2 linked regions of the Oryzias latipes genome follow. The protein of the gene in region 1 purifies or fractionates together with the protein of each later gene. This does not show direct contact. Links are inferred from orthologs where the notes say so. Each region holds a gene or a part of one and is shown on either strand. Other genes may lie near its edges.

Region 1 (5,033 bases):
AAAAGCTGCACATTTGACAACAATTCCACCTTAAAAGCTGTTATTGATCAGAATGTTTGGAGGTCTGGGTTTCCTGTGTTATTATGCGCCGTTGCTTCATCCTGTCACACAGCAGTCAGAACCTGGATCTGATCAAATCAAGCCTGCAGCGATTTTAATCTCCAAACATGGAGGTCTAATAACAGGACGGCCATTTCCTGTTATGATGACACACTCATCCCACTTTTCATCAGCATGATGAGATATACGATCCGGTTTGGAGGAGGCGGTCAGGCTGCAGGTAGATTACTCAGTTTACAGCCATGCATACCATAACATAATGATCAATTACCCTGTCATGTAATCCAATTAGCCCTGAGAGAACACGAGAGCTGAGATGCAACGATCCATGTTCATCGCTCAGCAAGAAAGCAACAGAACATTTCCCCAAAGAAAATCCGCAGTTTGGAAATTCCTCTGGGGGGTGGGGGGTGGGGGGGGCATCAAACCTTTGTCCAAACTGATGCTAAGCCACAAGATTTCCTTCAGATTCTGCAGAAAGCACAGATCCATATGAGCGATCGTCAAGCTCCAAAACCAACATGGATGTTCTGGAGCTTCAATGTGCAGAAGAAGCTTCACAAGCAGCACAAGGCAGCTGGACGCCATTTATGACGCCTCACAGACGCAGGTGATCCTGCAGACGTTCCTGCAGACGTTCCTGCCGAGAGCAGCCAGTGAGCAATGAGGGGTGGTGTGTGTGGGGGGGTCATTTTAATGTTCACTTTCATGAAGCAGTTATTGAAGGTCCAGAGGGCTCAGACATCAACACAGCTGTCATGCACCTCCAGACACCTCCATCACCTCCACGCTCCTTCATGCACCTCCACTCACCTCCACACACTTCCATCACCTCCACTCACCTCCACTCACCTCCACGCTCCTCCATCACCTCCACGCTCCTTCATGCACCTCCACGCACCTCCATACAGCTTGGTGCAGCCATATCATTGTCATTTGCTGGGCTCAGCCTTCTGGAAGGTTCTAATGTTGCAGCCGTTCAGCAGCAGGTATCTTACAGCCATTTTGAGGGCTACTTAAATCTAAAGGCTTGTTGGAAAAATAAACATGAAGCCAGAGAGACAGATGGAAAATGAGCAAAGGAAGGAAAAGGAGAACATGTTGCTGTGACTGCAGAAATGAGCCGTGCTCTCAGGTGAAACACAACCCTAATTTTTACTGTTAAGAGCACATTGTGCATTAGAATGAGCTGACTTTGCTCTGTGATCCATTTGCTGTTGTAAGTGATGGTCGGGCTCGGTAAGCACGGCTTGGAAACTGGAAAATAACTTGTCAAAACCCATGTGAGACAAGGGGGCTAAATGCCCTGAGGGAGAAATTTCAATCAATGTCTCCTTGTGCTTTCACCGCAGCAAATTAGATTGTTCCTGTGCATGGGAGGGAAGTGTGACCCTGAACTGACTGCAGGATGAGACGCAGAGCTCTGACAGGTACGGGGGGCAGCCTCGTCTGCGATGGAAACAGCAGCGGAAGCAAAAGCCTGGAGTTTACGCTTTGCATCTTCATCCTGGAGTGCAGGAGAAGGGCGGAGTCTCACAGCTTCCACAGGGAAATTCACCTTTTGCACCAAAAAATGCCAAAAATGTTGCAAAAACTCAAAGCTTCGAACCCAATGCTGTGGCTCTGATCATGTTTTTACTGTAAGCAGCTCAGAGAGGAAGTAACCACACAAAACCTTCTAATCAAATGTCTCTTCTACTATCTAAAACCTTCAGCTGCTCCAACAGCAGCTCTGAATCCTCCACTGTTTGGTTGTAATAATGACTTAGACTTTCAGTGGTGCTGGATGTGACATTGAAACGGCATCTATTACACAGAAAAATGTCTGATCCAATCAGGAGCTAAATCAAATAGCAGCAAGTGTCAAAGGAGAGTTATTGGTCTGGTTCTCCTCAAAAAGTGCTGATGAAAGCGACGATGCTGAAGTGAGGAGGAGGAGGATGAGGGGAAGGTGCTCTGGGCTGAAGGAGGAGTGTTAGCACTTTGTTTCAGTTCCTCAGGTCAGAGGTCAGCGCCGGGTCAAAGATACAGTAACAAGGTCAGAGAGGACGACAAACGGATCAATGCTTTAATGTGAAAACATCTGCGCTCCTCCGGCGGATCAATCTGTCCACAGATGAGATTATTTCCACCAGACCCGGATAGAAAAACGCTCAAAAACACAATATTTTAGTTGAATCCAAAACCCAACGAAGTAAGGTGTTGTTGTAATAAATAACAGCAAAAATCTGTGATGGACAGAAACTTCACTTCATCTGCAGTTTCTGTCCCCATGTCGGACTTTAACTAAGAGAAGCTTCTAAATGATCCTTTCAACACGCCACTATTATAGATTTGAATAAAAAACAGCAAACTGTAAACTCCTGAAGGCGGGAAGAACAGAAGTCCTTCAGAGGACGGTGACGCCATCACCCAGAAGATCTTTGTTCCAGTGAACCAGCAGCTCCATGCAGGATGGAATCGGGTTGGCGTGCGCCCTGCACCTCCTGCAAACAAACAGCCATGTTTGCCCAGAGACAGCAGCTGCTGCACACCTGCCTGCAGCGCCTGCCTGGACGCACGGCACGCACGCGGCTCTTTTGTTGCTCGGAGCCGCCAGGTGATGGAGGTGATGGCTGCGGTGCCGGGCCGGACGGGTGTAGATTTCAGCACCCCTTTAATTACCAGCACAGCCTTGACTGGGTAAATCCAGCGGGGGGAGCGGTGACCTTCGGTCCACAGAGGAGGAGCCATGTTTGGGGCTTCAGTCTGAACTTGTTTTCCTCGTGAAAGATCATAAAACCACAGCATTTATTTTATGAAGAGCATAAAGACGCTCTACACCCATAAAGGGGGGATTAGAAGTTTAATAGCCCCCACTTCAGGTGAAATAAAGCAGCAGAAGCTCGATGATGATGGGGCATTTCAGAGCTTTTTGCCCCAACTTCTAACTCTGATTGTGAATCTGTAACAAAAGCAGAGATCTTCTGGGGGTCCAGCCTCCTGAGTGACGCACTCTTTAAATTTAGACCGTGTTGGGACAGTTGGGCTGTGGGATTGTGAATGGGATTATAATATTATGGGGTGTCCGACAGACTGACCGCTCTCTGCGGGCCATCGGAGGAACATCACGCACTCGAATCACGCAGCTGCTGAAAAGCTTTTCGTCATTTTCTCTTTCACCTGAACATGCGCAAACTTCTGCGCACTGAGCTGCTTTTTCCTTCAGATGTTCATGAATTTGTCAAAGTTCCGTCCAGTTTAGCTCTAATATACATCCCGGAAAGTTCTGGTTCCGGTGTCTAACACAAAAAAAACCCGCAGTCCGCAGTGAAAACCACGCAGCCACAGTTACTATAACATGTTTTCCGCTCAAACCGGGTGTGTTTTCCCGGTTATCCGGGATGAACCGGCGCCTTACCTCCAAGCAGCAGCAGCAGCAGCAGCAGCTGCAGCGCAGCGGCTGTTCCCGCACAGAAACCACAGCGTGACTCCATCCCGCACCACCATTAGGGGAAAGTTTTCAACGCAGACACAATCCACGCAAGTTCCTGCTTCCAACCCGCAACAGATACACAACCGGGAAAAGCCCAAAAAGTTCGCGCTGAAAGGGAGAAGACACCCGCAAAAGACAGACCCCCGCGTGCGTCCTGCGCGCGCCGCTCCGGGTAGACAGATGAACTCCTCACCGTCCCACCGACGCGCTGCAGAGAGAGGCTCCTCCAGCGGTGGCTGGGTGTGTGTGTGTGTGTGTGTGTGTGTGTGTGTGTGTGTGTGTGTGTGTGTGTGTGTGTGTGTGTGTGTGTGTGTGTGTGTGTGTGTGTGTGTGTGTGTGTGTGTGTGTATATGGGCAGCTCCACAGGGGTGTGTGTTCGCCCGCGCGGGGGGAGGGGGGTCATTCATCAGCAGCTCATCAACTCATACCTGTTCTGTGGACCTTCATCTTTGTTTTCATTCTGTTCACTTTTATGCAAACATTTTAGAATGACATTTTTTTAAGTTTCTCTGCGGCTTAAAAAAGCTTTAGAAATAAAAATACGAACTATTTGTAATAAAACTAAAACTTACGTAAGAATTCACAGGCAAAGATGATGTTTTATGACGTCATGATGTTCTGAGCGTAAATGTTTCTCACTGAGACATCTGAGTGATTCCTGACAGCTGCACTGCCTTCTTCCCTGGGGGGGTCATCTCCCTTGTTTTGTCCTGGATGTTAGGGACAGACCCGCCTCCCTCGACCGTCTTCATGCTGTGGTTCAGGGACTCTCAGGTATCTGTTTGGGCATTTGCTTTTTTAAATTCTGATTTCATGACTCACTTTTCTTATTTTAGCCTTTTATGCTAACATATCAAGAGCCTTTCATGTGTGGTCAAATTGTGGGAGACCTTTCCCCTGGGCCTGGGGGGCTGAGGTATGACAGGCTGAAGGGATGCTGAGGCGAGGCCAAGGCGGCGTCCTTCCACCCCCTGCCTGATGCCAAAGCGTGAGGCTCTCAGAGCGAACAGGAGGTCACAGAGCTTCCTCTGTTGACAGGAGAACAGCACCTCCTCCTCCTCTGCCATTTTAAAACCAATGATTCCTCTGTTTGCAGATGTTTAGTTTGCATTTCTGTAAAGACATAAATAAGATGAAAACAAAGATGCAGAATCTGCTGGAGACTGTTTATGTGGGCTGATAATGAAACGATTCTCATAAAACTCCTTCAGGTTTGGTTTGGAATCACAAAATCAAAAACGTTGATACGGAGTGGATTCTACAATCTGAACAAGTGTGAAGCACCTCAGAGCATCATGGGAGTTTGAGGACACGATCACATGACATCAGGAGCCGAGCAGGCGGCTGGAGCGCAACAGATAAAGTTTCCATACGGCAGCCTATAGGTATCCTGAGACTCTGTGTGGATCAATAAGACGAGGAAATGCGGCGAAGCGAACATGCTGAGCAGCCGCCGTGCGTTTTCAGTACTGATGATCATGCTCCCAGATGAAGGGGA
Region 2 (5,047 bases), on another chromosome or scaffold:
ATGTTTCAAGGCGATCAAGGCAGATGTTTGGTGGCCCTCCGATGCAGGCGATTTGCTGTCTTCTCTTCCAATCTGCCAGTTCTTCATCCGTTAGATTCTTTTGTACGTAGTCCATGGCAGTCAGCAGGCCTCCCATTTCTGTCACAATTTGCTGCAATTCCAGTGAAAAAAAAAAAAAAAAAAGAGTTATCCATCTATACCCACCAAAAGCCAATGAAATGACCCACATCGTTTGGGTTTAGCCCGTCACCGTATGAAAACCACTGACCCGCCTGAGCTGATCTAAAGCGCTCAACATCTGCTCAAGTTGAGCCATCTTCTGTCGAGTGGCAGCTGCCTGGCTGTTTCCATTCAAGTCCTGGTTCAGCTCTAGTGTTGGAGCAACAGGTGATCGGGCACGTTAGTCTTCACAATCCTGGGTGAGAATAACTCAGCACTCGTAAATATTCTACCTCCTTGGCTTTTCAGGGTTTTGTAATTAAAATCAAAGTCGTCTTGCAGGTTTTCAAGCATCTTCATCTTCTGTTCCATGTCCTGCAAAATATAAAGATATATATACATGTATATATAGAACTTTTTTTCGTGTTTAAATAAAAACCAAGTGGGTTTTGAACAATATTAACCTGAACGCGCTTCCTGATATCTTGAAGGTTGTGCTCCAGAATTTGCTGCTTCTCCGTCACGACTGTTCCGGTGGGATGGGCTGCTGAACCATCCTGTGAGAGACGAAGCAGCACGCCTCATTCAAACGTTCCCGTTCAAATTACCGGTAATTTCACCAATAAAACCTTGAAGTTTGAGAAAGACTAGGCACCTGGGAAGTAGAGGTGGCTGTCTGCAGCAGTCGCTGTTCCTCCCATAAACAGCGGGCGACAATGCGGGCGATTTCCATTGGCTTCTCCAGATACTTGCTCTGCAGATGCTGCTTTATCCTGCGCAGGTTGTGTTGGTAGAGGACATTGTTCTCCTGGAGGAAACGGCTATACTGCTGATCAATTTCTCCCAGGAGATTGTGGAACACCAGGGTGGCGTGGGATTCTTTGTTGGCAGCATAGGCCCTTAGAAAATAGTGGGGGGAACACAAAAACATATCGATTTCCAGATTCCAACAACACAAAATTCCCAGGTTTATTGAAAAGAAATCCCAACTTTGTGAAAATATTTAAAGACTATAATTTTTGTGTGTGATCACAACACAAAAAGTTCAAATTGAACATGGTAAAGTGCATTGCAGTAACATAAAATGTGAGAGAAAGTGTTTATATGAGCTATGACTTCATAGCTGCAAACCTAAAAGCCCTGAAAGATCAAGGTCAGCTTTATCTAGCAGATAAAAGCAGACTTTTTAAACAAAGACTTGAATCATTTCTTACCAGTCTTGACTTTCAATCCAGGGTGCAAGAAACTGGCGTAGCTCCATTGGAAAGCTGTCGCTGTACAAGTGGTAGAGCTGCTCCAGATACCTGGTCTCCAGCTGCTGTAACTGGTTCCACTGAGCCATCCTGACAAGCACTGCCTCAAATCTGCCAGAGATGAAACTGCTTTATCAACACAAAACAGGCAGAAAATCAACAGAAAATGATACTTTAGAAAACCGCGCTCAATGTTCTTCATCAGACTGCACCAATGGGAAATGGTTGAACATCAGATTTCTCTGAAAACGACAACAGGCCAATGCTGAGGCCTCGCGTTGCCAAAAGTCATTTCCTGTTCTCTGAAACTGTGCCTTCCCCTAAAAAATATAGGTCAGAGTGAACAGCTGTAAAGCATTGAAAAGCTTATCTCTGGTCAAAGAATTGCCCCGGCAACTTTTGCATGAAACACCGACAAAGCAAACTTCTTCCTCTCAGATGCAGAGGGCATGGATCAAAACCCAGACAAACCATTTCCTCTGAAGCGATAGGCGACTGTCAGATTAGGATTTCCCTTCAAATCCGAGCGTGTGTTTTAAGCATTAACCACCTGCCGATCTGGGACTTTTTGTTGTTTTTGAATTTATCGATCACATCCTGCTGGCTGACTCAGCTGATAAAAGATGGCTACTGCTTCCTTGTTTGCAAATTGAGCTCCCATTCAAGGCATTTAACAGAAAGACATGTCCTGTACCACCCATATTAGGTTACAGGCTCCAGTTTCTGTCCGAAAGCTCACACAATGCTTTGACTATTGTTACACAAGCTTTCTCACAACAGTGTCTGTATTGTTGATTCTGCTAATGTGAACTAGATGCTTGCACTGTATTTGAAAAAAGCAAAACAAAAAATAAACTCATACATATGACCTTCTCAATAGCCAAAATAATGCTCTTCCTGCCCAGAGAATACAGATCAAAGCTGTAATAATATACAGGGTATGAACTTTCATTGCAATAAATATCATTTGGACAAACAAAAAATGTTTTATGCTATTTATTCTAACAGCAAAACTGAAACTGGAGTATTCAGAGCTTATCTGACACAACACAGGAAACTCATTTTAGGGTACTATCACTATTTTAATGTTATTTTGCAGCAAATTATATATAATAATATATAATCGCAATACAAGCAAAATCTTGTAACGAACCTCCTTACATGAAAAAATACAGGAGTACTTTTATCACAAATTTTCAGAAAAGCCTTGTACTAAAAAGTAAAACAACAACAACAACAACAACACTGAAACTTTCTGTTTGATCTTTGTATTTTAATGAAATATGAAGTAGACATTGCTGCATCATGTTGAGAAATCTAGGTATGTAAAATCGCACAAATTCACTACAGTCACTGATTAATCGTTTTCTTTCCTTTCTCAAAGCTCCATGCAGGTCACTGCTATTTGAGAAATCATCAGAATGATTAATAAGAAAGTCAGAAAGAGAACTGCTGTAGTGTTTTTTTTTCTTTTCTGTGTGGTTACTTACTGGTAATGCACAATCCTTACATAAGGTCAGTGATATTCCAGGAAAGTACTTCCTTATTAAACATCAGAGCACAGTCACCATGCCAAGTTTCCCTTTTACAAAGCCTGGGACTGCGAGATGGCTCAGGGACAACAATGCATGCTATTTTATGATATTTATGTAGAAAATTGTCATGCAGCCATATTTATGCTTTATACTATACATGTATATGTAATTCTATGTACGTTTTCAGAACTATTGGGGGCTTAAATATACCTGCAGATCTTATTTGTGCTACGAATGAACAACAGTACTTTTCTTCATAAATATGATGGGCGGGACAACTAAGGAAAAAAACAATAAACAACGACCTCCATACAAGTAAATTATTTAAATTTAAGGCACCAACCACCGGATAGTCGAAAAAGAAACACAAAAACGTCATCACTTTTGAGTCCTGGTCGTGATATTATTACTAACTAACGTCACTCAGCAACTAACATTGAAATGTGTGATGGCTTTAGTTTAAAGACTTACGTAAGAAAGACCCCTGGCACACGATGTCTGTCTGTCTGTCACTAACTTTAGGCATGATGCATTCACAGAATTATATTACATTTGACTGTAGCTAAGTTATGGCTGTAGCTCTAGCTTCGCTTTAGCACGACATCCTTGGAGAAAACTAACTAATACAATGGCAATATTTTGAATTTTTCTTTGTTTTTTTTTTTTTTTTTTTAGTGTAATAATATGTTAACAGCTGAGTCACGACTTACCACCTTCGTTGGATCCGGAGCAGTTTGGTCTCTTTCCCACAAAAAACACAAGCTCACAAAGACGTCAGCGACAACTTTTTAACGAAGAAAAAGTAGAAATTGAGCGTCATAAACGAGGAAAAGTGCTCCCAAATATAGTGTAACGCAAACCGTAATCTTCGCACCACGAGAAACCACTTTCAGAAACAAGTACCCCCCCGCCCAGCCCATCAACTAAACTGCAGTCTTTCCAGCCAAACAAACTTCCAAATCTACTTGGTTGACATTTCATTCCGCCAATGAGAGTCGCTAATTTTTTTTATACCAACTATAAACGACTTTATATGGAGATAAGGCGGGATGTAGCAGCAAGTTTGGTTGAGCCTTCTCTGTTTACCGCTGTCGCAACGAAGCTGTTCCTCAAAGCAAACCCTCCCTCCCGCGGAACTATACGGAAGCCCGTGTGTTTCGCTTATTTCAGAGGGAGGGTTGGTATTTCAAGAGAACAGCCAGCCTGGAAGTCATCTGAGTTACCGGCAACGTTGACGTCATCAAATTTGATAATGATACTGCTTCACAATAGCCAGACCTTTTTCACGGTAGAAGAGTAAAAAAAGAAATGATGACTAATTGACTACTCTGACTGCTGGCTTGAATATTAAAATGTAAACAAACGATAAAGTTGTACAGTTTTCTTTATTTTTAATTAAAAATGCAAATAACATAACCAAAACAGGTCTTACATTGCTGTTGCAATGTATTCACCTTATTCCTAGTGTGTTAGTTATGACTGTAAATTTAAACAAGTCCAAATGTACTGTAGTGAAACACATGATTCTTAGAAGTAATAACTCTATAATGTACAAAAAAAGTATTATTTTACAGGCTTAAAACACATATTTCCTGCCTCCACCATTGTAAATAATGTGCTTATTAATAAACACATTCTTATTTTCTACCAACATCATTCCACCCCTGTGCATGCTTTTTATTTCTCTTTTAGTCTGCTCTCCATCCTGCTCTGAGAGTGCACTCTCCCTAATTGCATTTTCCCACCCATTGATTATTTTAATGCTGTTTTCTGCCAGAGAGTGAGTGTCTATGTGTCTCCATCACATCAAGGTCATCACAACTCTGTAGGGAGACAAAGAGGAACCACCCTTTGCTCCTGTCTGGAGCCGTGTGTCCTTAGCTTTTAATGAAATGAGGTGTCACCGGCTGAATCTATTCTATCAGCTGCAGAATTTCAATTACAGTAGCTTTTTCTCATTTTGTTTGGCTCCTTTCTTCAAGAGAAAATGACTTTTTTTCTTCAAGATTAATGAACAGAGTCTTTTTTTTTTCAAATTGCAGTGCACACACTTTATTCAGAAACAGACACACAAATTCACCTGGTTTCCATGAAAAATAA

Evidence for each region. Proteins that work in one complex are often made in the same cells at the same time.
Region 2: the proteins of ret (region 1) and stat3 purify together in Homo sapiens (affinity purification with western blotting; 3 studies listed by BioGRID and IntAct, with this or other methods). This does not show direct contact. The link is inferred for Oryzias latipes from reciprocal best matches to the Homo sapiens genes RET and STAT3.

Annotation. Positions count from the first base shown.
Region 1 is NC_019873.2:29,914,612-29,919,644, forward strand, and holds the start of ret (proto-oncogene tyrosine-protein kinase receptor Ret), read right to left. Parts: upstream 3,782-5,033; 5' UTR 3,537-3,781; coding exon 3,461-3,536; intron 1-3,460. UniProt on the Homo sapiens protein: Receptor tyrosine-protein kinase involved in numerous cellular mechanisms including cell proliferation, neuronal navigation, cell migration, and cell differentiation in response to glia cell line-derived growth family factors (GDNF, NRTN, ARTN, PSPN and GDF15).
Region 2 is NC_019866.2:6,344,219-6,349,265, forward strand, and holds the start of stat3 (signal transducer and activator of transcription 3), read right to left. Parts: upstream 3,857-5,047; 5' UTR 3,658-3,856; intron 1,524-3,657; 5' UTR 1,502-1,523; coding exon 1,374-1,501; intron 1,059-1,373; coding exon 815-1,058; intron 717-814; coding exon 624-716; intron 535-623; coding exon 453-534; intron 370-452; coding exon 269-369; intron 152-268; coding exon 1-151. UniProt on the Homo sapiens protein: Signal transducer and transcription activator that mediates cellular responses to interleukins, KITLG/SCF, LEP and other growth factors. Once activated, recruits coactivators, such as NCOA1 or MED1, to the promoter region of the target gene.